Pelodiscus sinensis: one gene and its partner. The protein of the gene in region 2 interacts with the protein of the main gene of each other region in a biochemical or structural test. Links are inferred from orthologs where the notes say so. Each region holds a gene or a part of one and is shown on either strand. Other genes may lie near its edges.

Region 1 (10,330 bases), on a different chromosome or scaffold from region 2:
AGATGGGAAAGAGCGGGGTGGCAGAGCTGAGCAGGCTGCTGGGCCACTCTGGCCCCTGCTGCCCAGGTGTGTGTCGTGGGAGAGATGATGGTGTGTGTGTTGCGGAAGGCGACCCCTGCCCCAGGCCCTCTTTTTAAAGTAGTGCCACATCCCTACATTAGCAGAGAAATTGTGTTGCAAGGCCTGTTGTCATGAGACCAATCCTGCGGCGTAATGAGTGCTCCAAGCTTCCATCAACTTCGTTGGGTATTTAGGATCCAGAACTCCTCACAGCAGTCACACAGCACACCACAGGACTGGGCCCTTAGACCTGTGCCCCCTGCCCTCATTCAGGCAAGCACTTAAGTCCCTACTCAGGTCTCGGTAAAGTTGACCCTGTGCATTAGAGCTTTGCCCAATTTGTCACTACTATAACTCCACTGACACTGGTAGAGTTACACAAGGGATAAATGTGATGTTTGAATGATCCAGATTTGTATGACTTACAGCAAAACAATATTCACCATAATACAGCATGTACCTGTACTGTTTTGCTTACAGTAATACAGCTTCATGATATTCTTTATCTTAGTGACAAAACCACACCTAAATGACTTGTCATAGAGCAAGATGTAACTTTTTATAAGATCTGAAATATACAGCTCTACTCTAACTCTTCTTGGAGTCCAGCAGTATTTACATGAACTCAAAACTTTTGCAGGTGTGACACATCCCTTCCATTATATTTGGAAACCTTGACAAGCCACATCCTGTCTACGTTTATTTATTGTTAATTATCTGCAAGTCATGGTGTGCTAAGCACATTCTAGTTCCGGGGTAGGGAGAAGAAAGTGGTGCCACCTTTTAAATAATAAGAGCAACCTGCATTTAACGCTGCATGAACATCTACTCATTTTTAAATGACACCAGAGTGGGATCATTTATTGTGTTACAGAAAGAAGAGGAGGGTCAGCAGCAGCTCTCGTTTTAGAAGTTTTGGCCTATGCTGTTTTACACAGTTGTGTAACTGAGTGAAAAACTTGCTTTTATTTCCCCGAAGGGGAGAAAAACATGTCTGAAAAAATGCACTTCCCAATGCCAAGCAATATAGCAGCCGCAGCAGGTGTGTTTTATGTAGTTTATTCCTATAAGAAAGCAAGTGAGAGTCACGACTTTGAGAGCTCATCCTGTGCAAACTTGTCCCACAAAGTATATGTAATAATCTCCACCCTTGTTATGTGACCCGTATTATTATTGCATGAGTTGACATTGCACTAAATACTGTATAACATTCAGGGGGTTATCAGCTCATATAATAATAATAATAATAATAATAATAATAATAATAATAATACATTATCATTCATCTTAATTATCTATTATATCGGTTTCCAATTCTTTTTCTTCAACCTTCCTGCAAGGCTCCACAGCTGGGTCTTCCTATCTCCCCTCCTGCAATGTATAAGGGCCTGTCTAAATTGCCACTTCACTGTGTTGTAACTTTCTTGCTCAGGGATGTGAAAAAACACCCCGGAGTACAGCAAGTTACAGTGTGGTAAAGCATCAGTGTCAACCGGTTCCCTCCCAGCTCTGGGAATCGTGCTCCCAGTGCTGTTAGCTACACATCATAGAGATGGTTTGCTTTCAGTGCTGGGAGAACTCGCACTCTCTTGGCGCCAGTGTGGTGACCACATTGCTGGGTTAAAGGACTGCTGTGGTAGCACTACTTTGGCTGTGCTTTAAACTTACAAGTGCCAACAAAGTCTTCTACCTACACCTCTACTGACTGTTTCTTTTGTTTTCTCCTATTACTTGCGACTTTCCTTTTTTCTTTCTTATACTATCCCTCTTAACTTTAAAAGAGTCTCCCACCTCCTCTGCCTTAAAAAAAAAAGCCTTCCTCAATCACCCCCTTCACCCCCTTTATTTCTTTCTATTGTTTTTTCTACTTTTCTGGTGCCTGACCATTTGAAAAAAGAAGAAACATCCGAAATCAAGTGGCATACATCACATATTTTCCTAGAAAGTCAAAAGCAGCAATCAGAGGCTGTCTACACTACACTCCTTTTTCCGATTGTTTTTTCGGAAGAGGCCTTTCTGAAATTTGGCCTGTTTACACTGGGCCAAATTTCAGAAAAACCTCCTCTTTCGGAAGAGCCTTTCTTTCTTGTGAAACGAGGTTTGCAGGGCTTCCGAAAGAGTATGTCTGCTTTTCCGCAAAAAATGTTGCATTCCATGGACATGGCGGAGTTTTTCTGGGATACCTCCAGTATTCCGGAAAAAACTCCATAGTGTAGACATAGCGAGAGCAAGTGAGTGAATGAGCGAGAATGTGTGTGTGTGTATGCGGGGAAGGGTATACTCTCCCATGGTCCACCCTAAAGCCAAAGTTTGGTCACATGACAGCAAAATCTGAGATGAAAGTGACAGTACAGCTTTTCTTCATGTGCCTCTAATCCTTCAAAAATTTAAGCACATATATAACATATGTTAAAACTATTCCTGTGCATGAATTTTGCATGTTTAAGTCTTTGCAGAATCTAGGCTTTTGACCTTGTCTATGCCAGAAGAGAAAGTATAGATAAGAGAGAATGTCATAGAGGTATACAAAACAATGAACAACACAGAAAAGATCAACAGGATTGTCCTACTTCACTTTTTGAATTATATCTGAATGGGAGAGCATTTAATGGGAAGGTAAGACATATAGCATGTACAAATTGCTGACTGATGAAACTCATTGCCACAAGATATATCTGAGGCATTGAAAAGATTTAAGAAATATAGTTATACTACAAGACTTACCCGGCATTGCTCAAGTCGTTAACTCAATTAATTATTGTGTTTTGGAAAATAAAATATTGGAGCTGGGGATGAAGGTTTCAGTATGCAGGCTGCCCCAGGGAGAGAGGACTACCTTAGCCCTCTCTTTGTGCAGCAACTTGGGGACAGGTGAGAAACACCTCTCTATGGCCACTGCAACTTCAGTGGGCACAGTTGGGAGAAGGGTACATGTCGCTCTACTGAACAGGTCCAGGTTCATCTGTGTCCTGCGCTCCCCAGCCAGAGTGAGAAGTTCAGCAAACTGTGCACTTTCCCCTGGGGTAACAGCCAGCAATATTCCTGTATGAATCCAGGGGGTGGAGGAAAACTTCAGCCCTTCCCATCCTCCCTCTCTAAAGGATGACTGGGAGGTGAAAGGCTTGGGACTTGGGGCAGTTTGGGGAGGTGGGGAGACACCCCCAGCCAGCCCCTTTCACATGCCTGGTGATTATCTCTTTTCTGTATGATTTTATATGAACCTGTATGAATGGGGGGGGGGGGGGAGGCCTGCAGCCCCTCTACCCTCCTTAAATGGCACCTGAGGGGTGAGAGACTCAGGACTGGGGCAGTCCTGAATGGGGGTGTGTGCACCGCCTACCAGCGCCTTTCATGTGTCTAGTGATGCTGTCTTTTCTGTATGGTTTTGTAGGAAGCAATCCCACAACCTGTTTTCCAGGCACAACCGAACCTTTACCTTGGTTTAAGTTATGGTAAGAGAAAGCTGCACATTGAATTTGGCAGCCCTAGCTCTTACGGTTTAGGAGTTCTTGAACCAACAGACACACAGACAGATTCAGGCGGACACAGATCGACAAACTCTCTCAAATATATAGTGAACAACCCACCATTATTTTTACAGACATCATGTTTCAGGACATAAAATATCACTAATTCAGGGGCTGTGTCTAGACTGGCCAGTTTTTCTGGAAAATCAGCCACTTTTCCGGACAAACTTGCCAGCTGTCTACACTGGCCGCTTGAATTTCCGCAAAAGCACTGACGATCTCATGTAAGATTGTCAGTGTTCTTGCGGAAATACTATGCTGCTCCTGTTGGGGCAAAAATCCAGTGTAGACAGCCCAGATTTGTTTTCCGCAAAAAAGCCTCGATTGCGACAATGGCGATCGGGGCTTTTTTTGCGGAAAAGCGCGTCTAGATTGGTACGGATGCTTTTCTGCAAAAAGTGATTTTGTGGAAAAGCGTCCGTGCCAATCAAGACGCTCTGTTCCGAAAATGCTTTTAACGGAAAACTTTTCCGTTAAAAGCATTTCCGGAAAATCATGCCAGTCTAGACGTAGCCAGGAGGAGTAAAGACAAAATATCCTGCTGGGGCATCTGAGACAAAGGGAGCACAGAAGAAGGGTTAAATCTTCTCTGGTTCCTAAACTACTGGGACCATCCACCAAAGGAGTACTTCCCTGGTTCTTGAGTTTATTGGTGCTTGGTGGGAGCGGGAGGGCATTCCCTAAAGTGGTCTGCAACATGACTTAAGTGACCAAATAGAAATAGTGGAAAAACTAGGACGGGGTGGGGGATATACTACCCCTAATTATAAAAAAGCCCAGAACAGCAAGACTGTCCCTATGTAAGGGGACTGTTACCCCTTACTAAAACTCTGTGGGAGTTTTTTGGTTTGCCAGCTCCCAGTTTCAGAAGGGACATGAGTCTGACAATGGAAAGCAGCCAACACTCCAGCTCAGCCTGATTGACAGGTTGGACAGGCCAGTGAGGAAGGGGAGAGGCCAGGCCCCGTCCTCCCTGTGAGCTGGGATTGTTCTGACTCTCTCTGAGCAAACAGAGAGCTGAGAGACAGCCCAAGCAGTGCAAGCTGTGTGCTGAGGGGCAGTTTTTGCAGCAGCTGAGCCAGACACACACGGCTCAAGGAGCGCAGACCCTGTGTTGAGCAGCAGACTGGCAGTGCTCAGAGAGCCAAAAGGAACAGAGAAGCAACACAAGAAGCTAGAGACTGGCCAAGAAGCTCAGCCTGCAGCTGGATGTGGTGAGCAGAGGGGAACTGCAAAGTGTGGGGAGAGGCTCTGGACTGGGAGAGGGGTCTGGCCACTTAGAGCTTGAGGCTGTGTGGTCACTGCCAGAGCAAGCGTGTCCAGCCTGCAGCCCCTCCCCCCCGCAGCACATCCAAGGCCTCTAAGGGGCCTCTAAGGAAGAGACTGTGGACTGTCCTTACACTCTGCAGACTGCTGTTTTGATGTCCCTGTGCTACAGAGCAGGGCTGTGTGTTCTCATTTAACCTTTCTCATTTTTTCTTATTCTTTTCTCTTTAATCAGTTGATGTTTAATAAATTGTATTTGCTTTGAACCTTATGAAGTGATCACTGGGCCAAGGCGGCCTGCAGTGTAAAGAGAGCACCTCGGACTGGGGACACCCTAACTCCTGCCCCTAGTGACTACAAGGTCGGGGATTAAGCCCCAGGAAACCTGGGCCCAGCCTTGTTGGGGTTTCAAGGGCTCTGCTACTCAGGAGGGTGGAGGGGGAGCCCTCAGGAACAGGGGAGCCATGGGGTAAAGGAAGTGGGAGTGGGGACTCAGATCCTTTCGCTGGTCCATTTCACCGGGGTGGTATAAACGCCAGGAAAGTTCCCCACAATAGCGGAATCATTCCCCCGCTTACACCTAGAAAATCTGGTCACCCTAAACAAGACAGAGGTTTTCAATCTGTGGTTTGGGAACCCTTGGGCACCCACAGACTACATCTAAGATTTCTAAGGGTCTGCACTGCCATTCCTATTTTTTTATGGATCCGTACATTTAAAAAGGTTAAAAACCATTGGTCTGTGGGAATCAGCAGCTCTGGAGCGACAGAGCCACCCATCCTGCCCCTTCCCATATGTACTTTTTCCGAGTCTGCAAACACCCCCGTGCGATAGACTCTTATCCCGCTTTAAAAGAGGGGGAGAATGAGGCAAGACTGACCCTCTTCTCGCTGCGGGAGAGACAATGCAACAAAAGGTGCGAAAGGGAGGGGGCAGACGCAGGGGGTGGAACGTCAGGACAATCCAGGGGCGTGTCCAGCTGGGGCTTTGGGCCAATGGAAGCCTCCAGGAGACGTGCAAGTGATTTTTGAAGTGGATTCCCGCTTGTCTAAAAAGAGGGGCGTGGCCGGCCTAAGGCTTCTGACCAATAGAAGCGCAGAGCGGTCGGAATTTTCGGCGGCTCCCTCGTTTGTGACAATGGGTAGCGCGCCGCGGCCGGGCCTCGAGCCAATGGGAACGCAGCAGCGACGGCAGGTTTCGGGGCGGGCGGAGTGCCCGCTGTTGCGATTGGGCGGCCTGGCGTTCTGGCGCCAAGTTCGAAGGGAATATAAAGCGTCCCCGGGGCACCCACCACCCCTTGTTCCCCCAGCACGACTGAACCGGAGCTTTCATCGCGTCCCAGCCGCTGCCTCTCTCTGCTCGCCATGATCCCCGCCCGGGCCCCGTTCTCCGTCCGCAACGAGCAGCCCCGCCTGTCGCCCATGAAGAACCTGGTCCTGACCGACAAGGAGAACACGGTGAGTGGCCGCCCCCCCCCCCTCGCCGCCCCCACCCCCCCCAGCCACGGGCGCGGCGCCTCTCACCAGCCGCTCTCTGTCTCCGCAGCCCCCCGCGCTCAGCGCCACGCGGGTCCTGGCCACCAAGACGGCGCGGAAGATCTTCCAAGAGGCGGACGCGAAGCCGGTGAGTCGGGGCCGGGGGGAGGGGAGGGGAGCCGGGGGGATTCGGGCGATCGGCCGGGCTGGGCTTGGGGAGGAAGCGGCTGTGAGCGCGCGCGGGTTGAGCTAGGCGGCAGCGGGAGGCTGGTCCCGCCGCTTTCTGCCTTGGCGCCAAATTCTGCGGCCCGCCAACGCGCGGGAGCCCCCCCCCCCCGCCTTCTTCCTCTCCTGGGGTGGGGAGCACCCCTCCCTCCGCGGGGGGGCCCCTCTCTTCTCCCCCCCTTCCCTGGGGTGGGGAGCACCCCTCTCCTTCTGCGGGGGGGGCCTCTCTTCTCCCCCCCCTTCCCTGGGGTGGGGAGCACCCCTCTCCTTCCGCGGGGGGGGCCTCTCTTCTCCCCCCCTTCCCTGGGGTGGGGAGCACCCCTCGCTTCTCCCCCCCTTCCCTGGGGTGGGGAGCACCCCTCTCCTTCCGCGGGGGGGGCCTCTCTTCTCCCCCCCTTCCCTGGGGTGGGGAGCACCCCTCGCTTCTCCCCCCCTTCCCTGGGGTGGGGAGCACCCCTCGCTTCTCCCCCCCTTCCCTGGGGTGGGGAGCACTCCCGCTTCTCCCCCCCTTTCCTGGGGTGGGGAGCACCCCTCTCCTTCTGTGGGGGGGCCTCTCTTCGCACCCCCCTCCTTCCGTAGGGGGCCCTCTCTTCTCCCCCCCTTCCCTGGGGTGGGGAGCACCCCCCTCCTTCCGCGGGGGGGCCTCTTCTCTCCCCCTTCCCTGGGGTAGGGAGCACCCCCCTCCTTCCGCCAGGGGGCCCCTTTCCCCTGGGGTCGGGGAACAAAGGCCTTTTGTGTACACTAGTAGGTCTGCATGGGCCAAGTACTGCACAATAGTTTAGTGCCCTTTAGAAGCTACACCTCTGTTGAACAGGTTACCACATGCCATAGACAAGCCCCAACCCAGACCTAATCGTGCCCCCTGACTTCATCTACAAAATAGTCTCATCACATGCACCTAAACTCCACGGGTGGGAGGGGCAAGGGGCCTGGCTGCAGCCAGCAGGCTAGACTCTCTGGGCATCTGGGGTGGAGAGAGATGTGAAGGAGGGACTGGCACTTGGCAGCAATGGCCAGAGAAGCAGAGTGAGCTGGGGCCACGTTCAGCTGCCCCCACTGCTGCCTGTGAGTATGTGTGGGAGGGGGGTTGGCCCCTTGGCCCTGCAAGTGCCCCCAGATACATCCAGTTGGGGAGGAGGGTGAAGAGGCAGGGTGGAGCAAGTGCCCAAAAGAGGAAGGGTGTGGCCTGGGGCCGAAGGGGTTGTCCCAACCCTTCCTTGGCCTGAGGGGGGAGGGTCATGTGGCTACTGGCCCCTACGTTCTTTCCCCGCTCCTAGTTGTCCCTGATCACAATGGGATGCAAACTAGTGCATCACATTCATGGTTACGCTTTCCTCTTCCCAACATCCACAGTGTCTACCAACACTGGGGACATGGAAATCAATTTTTCTTATTGTGTCTCCTTTAGTTGAAACCCAAAGCAGTTACTCAAGCTCCTAGCAATCTGGAAGATGAGCCACTCCTACGGGAGAATCCCCACCGGTTTGTCATCTTCCCCATCCGGTACCATGATATCTGGCAAATGTATAAGAAAGCAGAGGCCTCCTTCTGGACAGCTGAAGAGGTGAGAGGCTCCCATGATGGTATCCCTGCTCTGGTTGTTTCAGTGGACATGCCCACTGGATATTCACCGCTCAGGCCAGCTCATAACAAAGTGTGTGTTCCTAGTAGTATTAACATATTTACATTGCAATAAAACCTGTGGGACTCAGTCATGATCAGGAACTTTTGTAGTAGGTGCTGTACTAATGCAACAAAGATGGTCCATGTCCCAAAGAGTTACAGATGATGTGTCGAAGTGCCTCGCTACCTGTGCTAATGTGAGGGTTTCTTTTGTCAGCATAGGTAATCCATGAGCTAGATCCATGGAAGAATTCTTTGATCTGGAGGTTTAGCTATTGGCCAAAGGTGCAAAAAAGTCATTCCTTACCAACATAGGCCAGCTTAATTTTCTAGTGCTGATCTAGCCTAAGCTTGTTAAGAACCAACAGTGACTGTATATTAAGTGTACTAGAGCCTTAAAATTGTTATATTTAATGCAGGGGTGTGCAATAATTTTTACAGGAGAGCACTTAATGAATTTTGATATGTGGCCTCAGGCTGCATCTTGCCCAGCCCGGATTAAAATAGCTTTGGAAAAAGTGACATAAACCAAGAACAACTTTCCATGGTTCTAGGAACCCATTAAACTTCATAATTTGATTTACTGCAGTAATATTTTATGTTTAATACACAGTATAACATTGCTTTATATAAATGCATTCTTTAGTAGCATGATAAAATTGTAAGTGCCTGCTTTTGTTCTTCAGGTTGATCTTTCCAAAGATATTCAGCACTGGGAATCCTTGAAGCCTGAGGAAAAGTACTTCATTTCACATATCCTAGCCTTCTTTGCAGCAAGTGATGGCATTGTAAATGAGAATTTGGTAAGCATACAGAAGAGAAATCCTGAAGTAGAAATCGTTCTGTTAACAAAGCTGCCCAAATAAAACAATGAGATGTTTATCTCTTGAGCGTCTTCTGCTTTAAAACCTATTAAATCAGTAGTCATTTTTCAGGAGGTGGGGAGGGTTAGGAAAAGTTGTGCTTAGTAAAGGACTCTTATGGACTTTTTTGTAATCTAAGCTTCCCCTATGGGGAGAAGAGGATGATTTTGTAGTAAGACCAACAGATTTGGGAGTCTGTTGACCTGGCTGTATTCCAGGTTGTGGTGTGAATATTTTTTAGCGGGGGAAGGGGATCACTTCCACAATCTTGTTTGATTCATCTATACATGGGTGCAGGTATTTGTGTGTCTCATAAAGCAATTGAGACTGAAATCACATTTGTACTTTGCTTTCAAATTCTTGTTCATGAGCTGCAAAAGTGCAGAATATTACTACAGCTCTGTCAAATTTGGCATTGTCCTGCCTTAGATTAAGCAGAAATGAGAAAAATGCAGTGTTTCTTTAAGGCCAAATACTCAAGGAGTTAAGATGAGATCAAGGCAGAACCTGAGATTCCTGACTCTCAGGAGGATGCTATTCTAGTGCACTGTCCTGGGCTTAACTTCTGAACATTAAAACGTTTGTCACACCATAGGGGTGTAAAGCAAAACTGGAGATACTTGTGGGTTTAATAGCATTAAATTACAATTTAAGTGGGTAATCCTTTCTGCAACAATTACTTGGTTTCTCCTCTAGGTGGAACGATTCAGCCAAGAAGTACAGATAACTGAAGCTCGCTTTTTCTATGGCTTCCAGATTGCTATGGAAAATATACATTCAGAAATGTACAGTCTGCTCATAGACACTTACATTAAAGATCCAAAAGAGAGGTTAGTATCACAGTGAAATGTCCAAGTTGATGTAATATGGTGGGTTCTAATAGTATTGCCTTTTCTAAATCTTGAAACAATACAGAAATGATTTGAGAATTTAACTAGCTTGGCAAACATGATGTGAAGAACAACTCAAGTATAATAAAAAGCAGGAAGGCTCAACAAACCATCCTAGGAAGAGATTAAAAGCATAACCGGTTTAATTTAGTAACTGATACATGAGGGTATGAAACCAAATTTGTCAAGGGAGCCAAAGTCAATCTATATAGATACTTAAAATTGGTCTACTCATAATACAATAGGCCCATGGTATTGGCTAGTTCATGGATTAGGTGGCCTAGAACAGTTTCTATGGGAATTATTACAGCTTGTATCTTTTTGACTTTTTATAACATTCTAATGTACATCTACCCATCTAATGATTCTGTGCCATTGTGAGCAGGTTACAACTATTTTTC
Region 2 (10,078 bases):
GCGGAGCACAAATGCCCATAGACACACTCACCACTGAACACTTTCTTGGTTTCTTTGTGCAAGTTGGAGACCGCAATCCTTGCGGCTAGGATGGCATAGTCGGGGTGTTTGGTAGTGAGGGTTGCAGCTGTCTCAGCAGCCAGTGTATCCAGCTCCACTGTGGTGACACCACTGTATAGACCCTGGATTACCTTCATGGTGATCTGAGCCTGGGGAAAGCCGAATTCAGCAGGTTAACTACCTATGTTACCGTGACAACACCATCCTCAACAGCAACAGCCTAGTCGAACCACATTTTCCCAACACCTGGCATCATATTTTCTCTTTGCAAGAAAAGTTATTACAATAAGTGTTTCACTTTAAACAAGTATCAAAGGGGTAGCCGTGTTAGTCTGAATCTGCAAGAACAGAAGTCCTGTGGCACCTTATAGACTAATAGATTTATTGGAGCATAAGGTGCCACAGGACTTCTCATTGTTCTCACTTTAACCAGCAGATGATAAAGTGATTTAGACTGAGCTGCCTTGATGGAGGGAAAGCACCAGGCTTTAATGTTACAACCTTAGTGATAGTTTGGAGAAAGGGAACAGGGAGTAGTACAGAAATGACTCATCAGGAATTATCCAATCAGGCACAAGTTTTTGTATGCAGTTAACTTGCTAAATGTTAATGTGCCCTGTTGAAGCGGTAGTGCAAAAGCTGAAATGCCACATCCAATCCAGAACTTGCTCAGGAATTTTCAAACTCCAAACAGCATTGACTTTTCACATGCCTGATCAAGCATCTAATTTGTTAAATTACAAATAGTTAATGCTAAGAGAGTTTGGAAAGGGATATTAAAACTAGGAATGTAAAATCCCATTTAATCAGTTAAATATAATGCTTAACCAGGATCCCACAGCCTAGTTGGTACCGCCTCGCCATGAGCTGCTTGGGCTGGGCCCGCTGCACAGTGCTATGGGTGGGGGCTGCTCCAGCTGGTAACAGTGATGCTTACTTGTTACATCTGAAATAAAAACCTCATGTTTCAGGGCTTAAACCAATCTCTCACATCTACCCATTAGGGTGTTTCCTGCACCTTCCTCTAAGCCAACTGGTACTGGTCACTGTCAGAAACTGGGTACTGAACCAAGAGGATCTTGGGTCTTATCTAATATGGCAATTTTGACATGCATTTGAAACATTCACATGCAACTGGGTATGTCAGACTGTCATTTTCAAACACTGGTCTTAAATTGCAAGCTCTATGGGACAGGGACAGTTTTTGTCCTGTTTGTACAGCACCTAGCACTAAGGCATCCTGGCCCATAAATGCAACTCAAGCATTGAAGCAATAGAAACAATAATGGTCTGTCATGTAAAACTAACTTTATTATTATTAGCAAGGCTTGCTAAGCGGCGGTGAGCCCCACTCGCCAGCTGCACGGAACCACACGCTGCGCATGCACAGACCGCGCCGGGCTAAAATCTACTCACCACGGGCGAGTAGATTGCCTTAATTGTCGAGCCCTGATTATTAGCCCAGTCACCAGGATGTTACACTAGGGATTCAGAGACCTAGATCAGATTCCTTGCTTTGCTACACCTCTCTGGGCATCACTTTCCCCAACTGTAAAACAGGGATAATGATTCTACTGCCTCTTTGTAAAGCTATTTGAGACCCAGGGCTGAGAAATATACTACATATTTCTATTGCACTGATAGCATTCTAAGCATCTATCACGATCATGAGGTTAGCCAGCAGCCTGGGGACTAAGGGATTAACTATACCTAACTCAGGTAGAGTTAGCCAATAGAAATGTAGGTAGGAATTTCAAACTGGGACAAAGGAATTTTTGGGTTTCCCTCCTTTGTCTCTGGGAGTTTTCTCCCCAGCTATTGAAGGGGACAGGATGTCTCCCTCTAAGAAAATACTCTTCACAGTCTGTAAGTAGGATAAAGTTTAGATAAATCCGTTAGATTTTATTGTTTTATGGTTTGGGAAATGAGATCAGGTCTGTGCATTTAAAAATGGGTTTTGCTCTCCTTTGTAACTAAGTTCCTGGCCCATGGTAAATTTCTCCTCCGTGAGTATATTATATTGTTACTATTCCATCTAATCATTATACTTGCAACAGAAATATTGTGGTGATAATATAAGTTCTCTCTCGTTTCTTTTTATTAACCTGGTATTAGTTAATTTTTGTGTCCTGGTTTGTACTTTAGGGGTGAGATATCCCAAGTAGTCTCTCCTTGGTTGCTTTATTAATATTTGGGTGGTGGCAGCAGAGAATTTATCCCCGACATCTAAGTTGTTAAGATTTGGGGGGGGGGGGGGGGGATTTTATACCAAAGCCTGGTAGATAAGATTTTGGAGTACTTTTGCTGGCCGCCAATTCTGCATTTATCGTGCCAGAGTGGGGAAGGAGCCATGACAGCATCATTCACAAATATGGCACTGTTAACCTGGGCTTGAATAACGATATTAACTGGTTAATGCACTATAGAGCCAATTTCCCCACCTTTGACATTCACATTTTCACATCAAATGCTATGAAGGGGACACATCCAGCCCATTTAATTAGCATCATTAACACAGATCCTACAATTGACAGGTAACTGCTTTTGCTGTTTTTATATATTTATATCTTTGATTCTGTTATTTCCACTCCAACTCATCTGATGAAGTGGGTTTTACTCACAAAAGCTCGTAACCCTATACATTTTTGTTAGTCTCTAAGGTGCCACAGGACCACTCATTGTTTTTTTAAAGAATCAAGTTACAGTAGTTGCAAACTGAACAATCAACCACATGTGTCACTTGGAGCCAGAAGTATGTAATCAGGCAGCAGCAGAGACAGCTCCCCTATGCCCCTCCTCCCCCTTCCCTCAAAAAAAGCAAATAAATACAGTACAGTTCTGTGTTAAATGTAAACTATTTTTTTTAAAAAAGGAAAATGGATTTTTTTTCTTCTGCTTATTAAAGTCTGAAAGCTGTATTCAATAATCAGTTGTAAACTTTCTAAAGAACAACCATAACATTTTGTCCAAAGTTACAAACATTCCTTAGGTGTTCACAACAAAGGTTCTACTGTACACAGAAAAGAAAAACACAATGGTTACCATTAAAAAAGCAGCAGTTGCCAAGAGTTCACAATAGGGGTATGGGGAATACAAACACCTCCCTTTAGAATGAAGGGGAAATAACTGAGAGGCACCTGATCACAAATGGTCACCACGGAGGACTGGGGGAAAGTGGAGAGGGTACAAAACAACTCACAGGATCAACGAAGTCGGCATTGAGTCCATAGCAGAGCTTCTGGATCCGAGAAGTGATCTTGTCAAACATGACGCGCTCATGGCGCCCATCTACCAGGTGTTGGGGGAGGAAAGGAGAGACAGAGAGTCAGGCCTTTATAGAGAGCAGCATGAATTACACAGACAGCCACATGTAGCAGGAGTCTTTGAAGGGGGTCTTTGGGGGGGAGTGTCTTTGAGAGGGGTCTTTGGGGGGACCCTTTGAGAGGGGCCTTTGGGGGGGACCCTTTGAGAGGGGCCTTTGGGGGGGCCACCTATGGCTGTCAAGGTATCTCTGTGCCCTCCCCAGCACTCCAGGGACTCTGCTCCGCCGCTCTGTGAGCAGCACCAGAAGAATCCAGCCAGAGGGGAATATTCATGCCGCCTGTGGGGATCCCCATTCCAGAAACCGGGGATCGGTGGGGATCGAAATGCTCCGGGCGGTGAGTCGGAGGCGACAGGGGTCCGGTCCTCCAGGGGAGCGTGGTGCCAGCTATGGAAGTAGCAGGAATACAAAGCAGGGACGTTACAGGTTAACCGGGAGCATATCCCTTACCAGCATCCTTACCGGTTAACCGGAGCCTGCAGCCGGCGGTTAACCCTAACCGGGTTAACAGGTTAACCGGGAGCGTATCCCTTACCAGCATCCTTACCGGTTAACCGGAGCCTGCAGCCGGTGGTTAACCCTAACCGGGTTAACAGGTTAACCGGGAGCATATCCCTTACCAGCATCCTTACCGGTTAACCGGAGCCTGCAGCCGGTGGTTAACCCTAACCGGGTTAACAGGTTAACGGGCCGGTTCCAGCCTGATCCGTTCATTGGTTAACCGATGAACCCGTGAAAGGGGATTTTGCAGCCCTGTGCCAAGGCAGGGCGGGGGGGGGGGGGCATGCACCCGGGGGCGCAGTGCCAGCTGGCCCCCCCAGGCGGAGGGGCGGGAATGGCACTGTGGGTAGGGGTCCCCCCAGGCGGGGTCCTCCCCCCGCAGAGAGGAGACGCGCGGGGAACTCGCTCAGCAGGGGCAGCCCCGAGGGGGGGGGGTCGGACCCGCTGAGCGCCCCCCCCAGTAGGGAGCCGGGGCTGCTGCCCCTGCCCCCGAGTGGGGGGGCTCTCACCTCGCTTGATGACGTGCATGGCGGCGGCTGGGGCCGGGCGCTCGCGCTCAACGCTCCGGGAGCTCCAGACGCGGCCTACGAGCTTCCCGCGCCCGCCAAGCGCCGGCCTGACCCCGCCGCGCCGCCGTACCGCCCCGCCCCCTCCCCACGCCGCGGCCGCCATCTTGAGTGCGGGCAGCGGCCCCGACCCGCCGCGGGCTCTTCTGCCCGGGCCCGGGACCCCATCGCCTCCCTGGTGCTTGCCCGGCAGCTCGCCCCTCCCTCCTCGCCCTGCTCCCCGGCTACGCGGCACAGGGGCAAAGGGAACCACGGGGGGCAAGGGCGGCTTGCCCGGGTCCAAGATGGCGGCCGAGATCCCGCCTCCCCCGCCCTTCCGATGACCGGCTGTGGGGGGAGCGGGCTGCTTCCCGCCTGGGGCGGGGCGGGGCTGCCATGTGGGGGGAGACTCCTTCGTGGGGGGGGAAGGGGAGACTCCTTCGTGGGGGGGACATGGGGGGAGGGGAAGGGGAGACTCCTTCGTGGGGGGGACATGAGGGGGAGGGGAAGGGGAGACTCCTTCGTGGGGGGGACATGGGGGAAGGGGAAGGGGAGACTCCTTCGTGGGGGGGACATGGGGGGGAGACTCCTTCGTGGGGGGGACATGGGGGGGAGGGGAAGGGGAGACTCCTTCGTGGGGGGGACATGAGGGGGAGGGGAAGGGGAGACTCCTTCGTGGGGGGGACATGAGGGGGAGGGGAAGGGGAGACTCCTTCGTGGGGGGGACATGAGGGGGAGACTCCTTCGTGGGAGGGACATAGGGGAAGGGGAGACTCCTTCGTGGGAGGGACATAGGGGAAGGGGAGACTCCTTCGTGGGGGGGACATGGGGGGAGGGGAAGGGGAGACTCCTTCGTGGGGGGACACATGGGGATGGGAAAGGGGAGACGCCTTCATGTTGGGGGAACACGCAGTGGAAGAGGGAGAATCCTACATGGGGGGGTCACATGGGGGACATCTCTCCCCTTGGGCCAGGCCCTCAGCTCTCAAGCCGTTTGAACAGCCCAAAGGTGGGGCTGGGTTAGTGCCCGCTCCCTTGGGCGAAGGACTCCTCATGCAGGAAAACTGAAGCGCCACGGTGGGTCCCCACTCGGCGGGGCTCCAGTACTGAGGTAAATCGCTGTGGAGCCGAGAAATTGGGGGCTACCTGGCTGCGCAGTGGTAGGGGAGGCCCTGCTTCGGCTAGTCATGCTGCTGTCAAAGTATTCCCCCTCCCTGCCCAGACTTGTCTATGGAAGGAAACTGACTTCACATGACAGCCTTAGTCATCCTTCCACTCTGATTGAGGTCATCTGGAATAATCCTCCCCGCCCATGTGGACATTCTGTTCTTGAACACAAGTGGTTTAATTCCAGAGTAATTACTCCCAAATAATTGTTTCCAAAGTGCATAATTATTCTGGAATAAAGTCGCTCTTGTCTGGGACTAAAGTGTCCACCTGGGGGAACCGGCGACAGAGCAAAAATAGCTCAGTTTTTTATTTTGTCCTATTTTGAATCTGTAAATGTATCCAGCATAAAGCAATTTCCCACTTCCCCAGTAGATGGCATCATTAGACTATTTTTTCTACCATCCACTTTCCCAGAAAGATACTACCTGTATTATTATTCATCATTTGTATTAGGCTAGTACCTGTTGAAGTGATCTGCCTCTGTCTGCCACTGATCAAGTATGAGCAACCCTGGATATTAGGTGTTGTGCATGCATATAACAAACAAATTATCCTTTATTATATAAGGCCATGTCTATAGTATAAGGACTATAAAAGCAGAGGTACAGGCTGCAGCTATGTTGACATAACCTCATGGTGTAGATCAGTGATGGGGGACCTAGGCTAGTGAGTGGGCTGCATGAAGTGGCCCTCCATCTCAGTGGGCTGCAAGATTGTTGTAGCCAACATAGGGTAGTTTTGCTAATTGAACTTTCATTCCTAGAATTTGTAGGATGTACCAATTGAACTGTAGTGGCACTGTGATAGGCAGAGGGAGCACACGGCTCTCACGGTCAATATTGTGTGAAATCAGAATGCACCTCACTTCATGTGCCCTTGCTTTACATGCGTGTCACTTGAGTTGAATCTCTAAAATCCGGGACTCTGAACCAGTAACATCCATCGTCCGGCAGGACTATGGATATTGCTGGACCAGAGAGCCCTTGCTGGCCAGGTTCAGCAGCGCAGCCTGGGCCGCATGGGCGATCAGTAATGTAGGCAATGGAAGGCAGAGCCTTCCCAAAATAAGGCTGGGGCCACCGTCAGGAGACGCAGCCCGGCTTTCCCTGCCCACCAAGGAGAGCCGGGCCGGAGCTGCAGCATGGCAGCTGTGGCTCTCCACATGGCCCAGAAGGATCAAGCTGGGAGTGGTCTGAAGGGGGCAGGGCTGAGGCTTGCCTTCCCCAGCTGGCTTTTCATGCGATGCCTATGCTGGGCTAGGCTGGCAGGGGGGAGTGCAGCCTCAGCGGGGCCGGCGCAGTGGGGAGCCCAGCCCAAGTCAGAGTGGCATGGTGGGGGTGTGCAACCTCAGTAGGGGCTGGAGGCAGCAGGACCAAGCAGGGAGTGCAGCTCCTGCCGGTAGCAGAGCCTACAGCTAGGTAGGGAGCCCTGAGCTCCCCTGGTCTGGCAAACCCTGTACAGTAGTTTGGACCACTCAGGTCCTGAGGGTGCTGGACTAGGGAGGTCCCCCTGTACTGGTAGAAAAAAAACTACATGGGCGAAAACCAGCAGTCACAGTAAACAAACTCCAGTCATCTGAAGAAATGGGCTGTGCCCACGAAAGCTCATGATCCCATCTACATGTTTTGTTAGTCTATAAAGTGCCACCAGACCATTTGTTGTATTTTAAGTTTAGTAAACAAAATGTCTTGCCACACATACAACCTGGTTTGCCCACCTGTAGTGTAGACACAGCCGACAGTGATATAAGGGTTTTCTTTCCATTGCTAGCACCTGAGCGAGGGCAGCACCTAGCTGTGTCTATACCTGGCAATAGGCCTGAATACCTACATAGCTGCATTATGCAGGTGTGCAGATTTTTCAGCTCCCTGAGCAATGTAGATATGTCAGTGTACATCTGAAGTGTAGAATAGATCTAATAATAAGATGGACAGTTTAAAATAAACCAACAGCTGGAGGGGGCTCATGCAATTAATGAGGCTGTTATGATTATGTATAAGGACTACATACTTAGCAGCAGTCACAGAGCTTCAGCAGCCCATTACTAAGCAGTTAGTAGACACTCCAGTGTTGGTTGGTTTTAATAAGAGATTTAGAAGAGGACAATGTGGTTGCTTTACAGTTTTTCACAGTGTGCTCCTTTCATGCAGAAGCAGCAGCATGGGAGAAAGATTTTTGCAGCTGCATTTTGATTTGCTATGGTGGCTTTGTTTTGGCTGGAGACAAGGGCCAGTGTTTGAGGTGGAAGCTGCTGAACTGTTTTGGTTATCTGTTTACAATGGCTTCTTTATGCAGGTTTAACCTCTCAAATCCGGCACTCTGGTCCGCCAACACCTATAGTCTGGCATGAGCATGGATATTGCTGGACCAAAGAGCCCTGCAGACTGGGAGCGGGAGCCAGCTGGGAGTCCCGTGGTGGCTGGGGAGCCCCAGCTGGGCCAGTGACAGCTAGCTTGGTGATGGCCTGGGAGCCTGGCAGCAGCAGGGCTGACTGAGAACCCCTGGTGACAGTGGCTCTGGCAGCAGGGTGGGGAGCCCTGGCACAGCCAGTGGCAGGATGGGGAGCCCCAACCTGGGGAGCCCCACAGCCGGAGGGAGCCTGAGAGTAGGGCCAGCAGGAGAACTTTGACCTCCCCTGGTCTGACAAACTCCTGGTTCGGGAGTGCTGAAGTCCCAAGGGTGCTGGACCAGGGAGGTCCCACCGGTATTTATTCTGAATGTAAGGTCACAGAGTTACACCCCACTCACAATAGCAGGGATTGGCCCAATACATAATATTTGCCTTATGCCGCACCGTACCTCCAGAAGACAACATGCTTTTTACTAATTCTGTACAGAAATCACTTCTTCTGCCTTTGAAAGGCAGCCACCTCTGGGGGGGGGAAGCAGCAGCTGCTTCGGAGGCTGAGAATGCCCTAATGCAGGGAAAATTAGGCAAGCAGAATGTAATCTAAGTTATAATTTGGCAGGGATAGTGGGACTATCACCACGGTTCTAACAAACATTGCCCAGGAGCGTTAATGTTGGAACCTCAGTCATTTCTTCCAAAAAAATTTGTTTTCCTTCGCTGTGCATTGGGGCATCAGTTCAACAGTGACTCTGAGCACAAATGGCTCACTACTGATTACCTAGCACTGGGATACTCTTCTCAGGTCTCCCATTTAACGGGAACCCTGCTGAGTTTGTGAGAGTCACTAAGAAAGGCTGCACAAGGTTGCAAGTCTGGAGTGCCCTAGCATCAAGCATGCAAAGAGGGAATTTCTTGGAATTAATTCAAAACCAGAGCAGATCAGGTCCCATAGTCTGCAGTGCTATAAAATAGTATGTGTCAGAAAGGTTTGCGGAGGGGAGAACAGGCTGGTTCAGCTGGAGCCCGTGCTATGTTCACTGATCTTCCTCCCTGTTGTTTTATTGGGCCTTCTTTGAGTGTCTTACAGCCATGGGCAAGACTGATTTATTTTACTAGAATTTGACAAGCACCCGGTGGGTTAAACTGTGACAGAGGAAACCAGACTTCTCCTAATGGGGTGTGACTGCGGGTAGATCAGAAAGATAAACGTTTGAAAAGCTGCACTCTCTGAGATGATTTTGGAAGGAAATTAAGCAACAAAGAGCCGGCTTACTGGAAATGTCGTGTTACCCCTTCCTTGGTAGGACAGCTACAGGCAAGAGAGAGCCTCTGTATGAGCAGACACCATAGTTATTCACTTACTGATTTCCAGAGTGAAATGTGTTCAGTCCAGCGGTGAAAGTAACTTAAAATTTCTTACAGATCCTGTCCTATTGCAACCCGGATCCCTGCCAGCTCTTTCAATAGCTCCCTGTTGGCTTTTGCCACAGCTCAGCCAGCTCTTGCCAAAGCTGCGCACCCCCTTGCTTTCACCTCTGGTTCAGTCTCAACAGGCTCTTTCTACTTGCCAACCCTTCAGATACAGTCTGGCCATGTGAACAATTGAAATCAGGCTCTTTCTGTAGCGCTCCATTCTCACTTGAACTCAAGGGATTTGGATAATGACCACGGGGGAGGTGGTCTAGAATGGAGATCAATAGTAAGAATGTATTTCTTCCAACAAACAGAACATATGCAACATGACCAGAAGATATACAGAGCCTTCATGCCCTCACTTCTGACAGATCTCACTGGAAATTCTATTTTACTATACCGTTTTATAAACATTCAAGCCTTGGCCAGTAAGAAGAAGGAAGGAAGTGTAGGTTCCTGATTCTCTACAGCTTATTTATTTAGTCCCTGATCCAGGAAAGCACATATTTATATCCAGTTCTGTTAGCAAAACACTTAAGAACCTGCAATGGGACTGTTTAGAATGATCAAGTTTTGCTGTGGAAATCAGTGGCCCTTATACATGTGCAAAATGGGTGTAAAATTCTACCATTCATTTGGCAGCATTTTTCACGAGAAGAAATGACTACATAGGGCACAGAGTGCTGAGGAATCAGGCTACAGCTACTTTGGGAGTGG

What was found.
Region 1: the proteins of RRM1 (region 2) and RRM2 form a complex in vitro, tested with the Homo sapiens proteins (3 studies listed by BioGRID and IntAct). The link is inferred for Pelodiscus sinensis from reciprocal best matches to the Homo sapiens genes RRM1 and RRM2.

What each region holds. Positions count from the first base shown.
Region 1 is NC_134713.1:27,355,004-27,365,333, reverse strand, and holds the start of RRM2 (ribonucleoside-diphosphate reductase subunit M2), read left to right. Parts: upstream 1-6,069; 5' UTR 6,070-6,217; coding exon 6,218-6,310; intron 6,311-6,398; coding exon 6,399-6,476; intron 6,477-7,961; coding exon 7,962-8,117; intron 8,118-8,862; coding exon 8,863-8,979; intron 8,980-9,735; coding exon 9,736-9,869; intron 9,870-10,330. UniProt on the Homo sapiens protein: Provides the precursors necessary for DNA synthesis. Catalyzes the biosynthesis of deoxyribonucleotides from the corresponding ribonucleotides. Inhibits Wnt signaling.
Region 2 is NC_134711.1:326,125,068-326,135,145, reverse strand, and holds the start of RRM1 (ribonucleoside-diphosphate reductase large subunit), read right to left. Parts: upstream 4,548-10,078; 5' UTR 4,412-4,547; coding exon 4,393-4,411; intron 4,035-4,392; exon of another isoform or gene 4,015-4,034; intron 3,349-4,014; coding exon 3,260-3,348; intron 210-3,259; coding exon 32-209; intron 1-31. UniProt on the Homo sapiens protein: Provides the precursors necessary for DNA synthesis. Catalyzes the biosynthesis of deoxyribonucleotides from the corresponding ribonucleotides.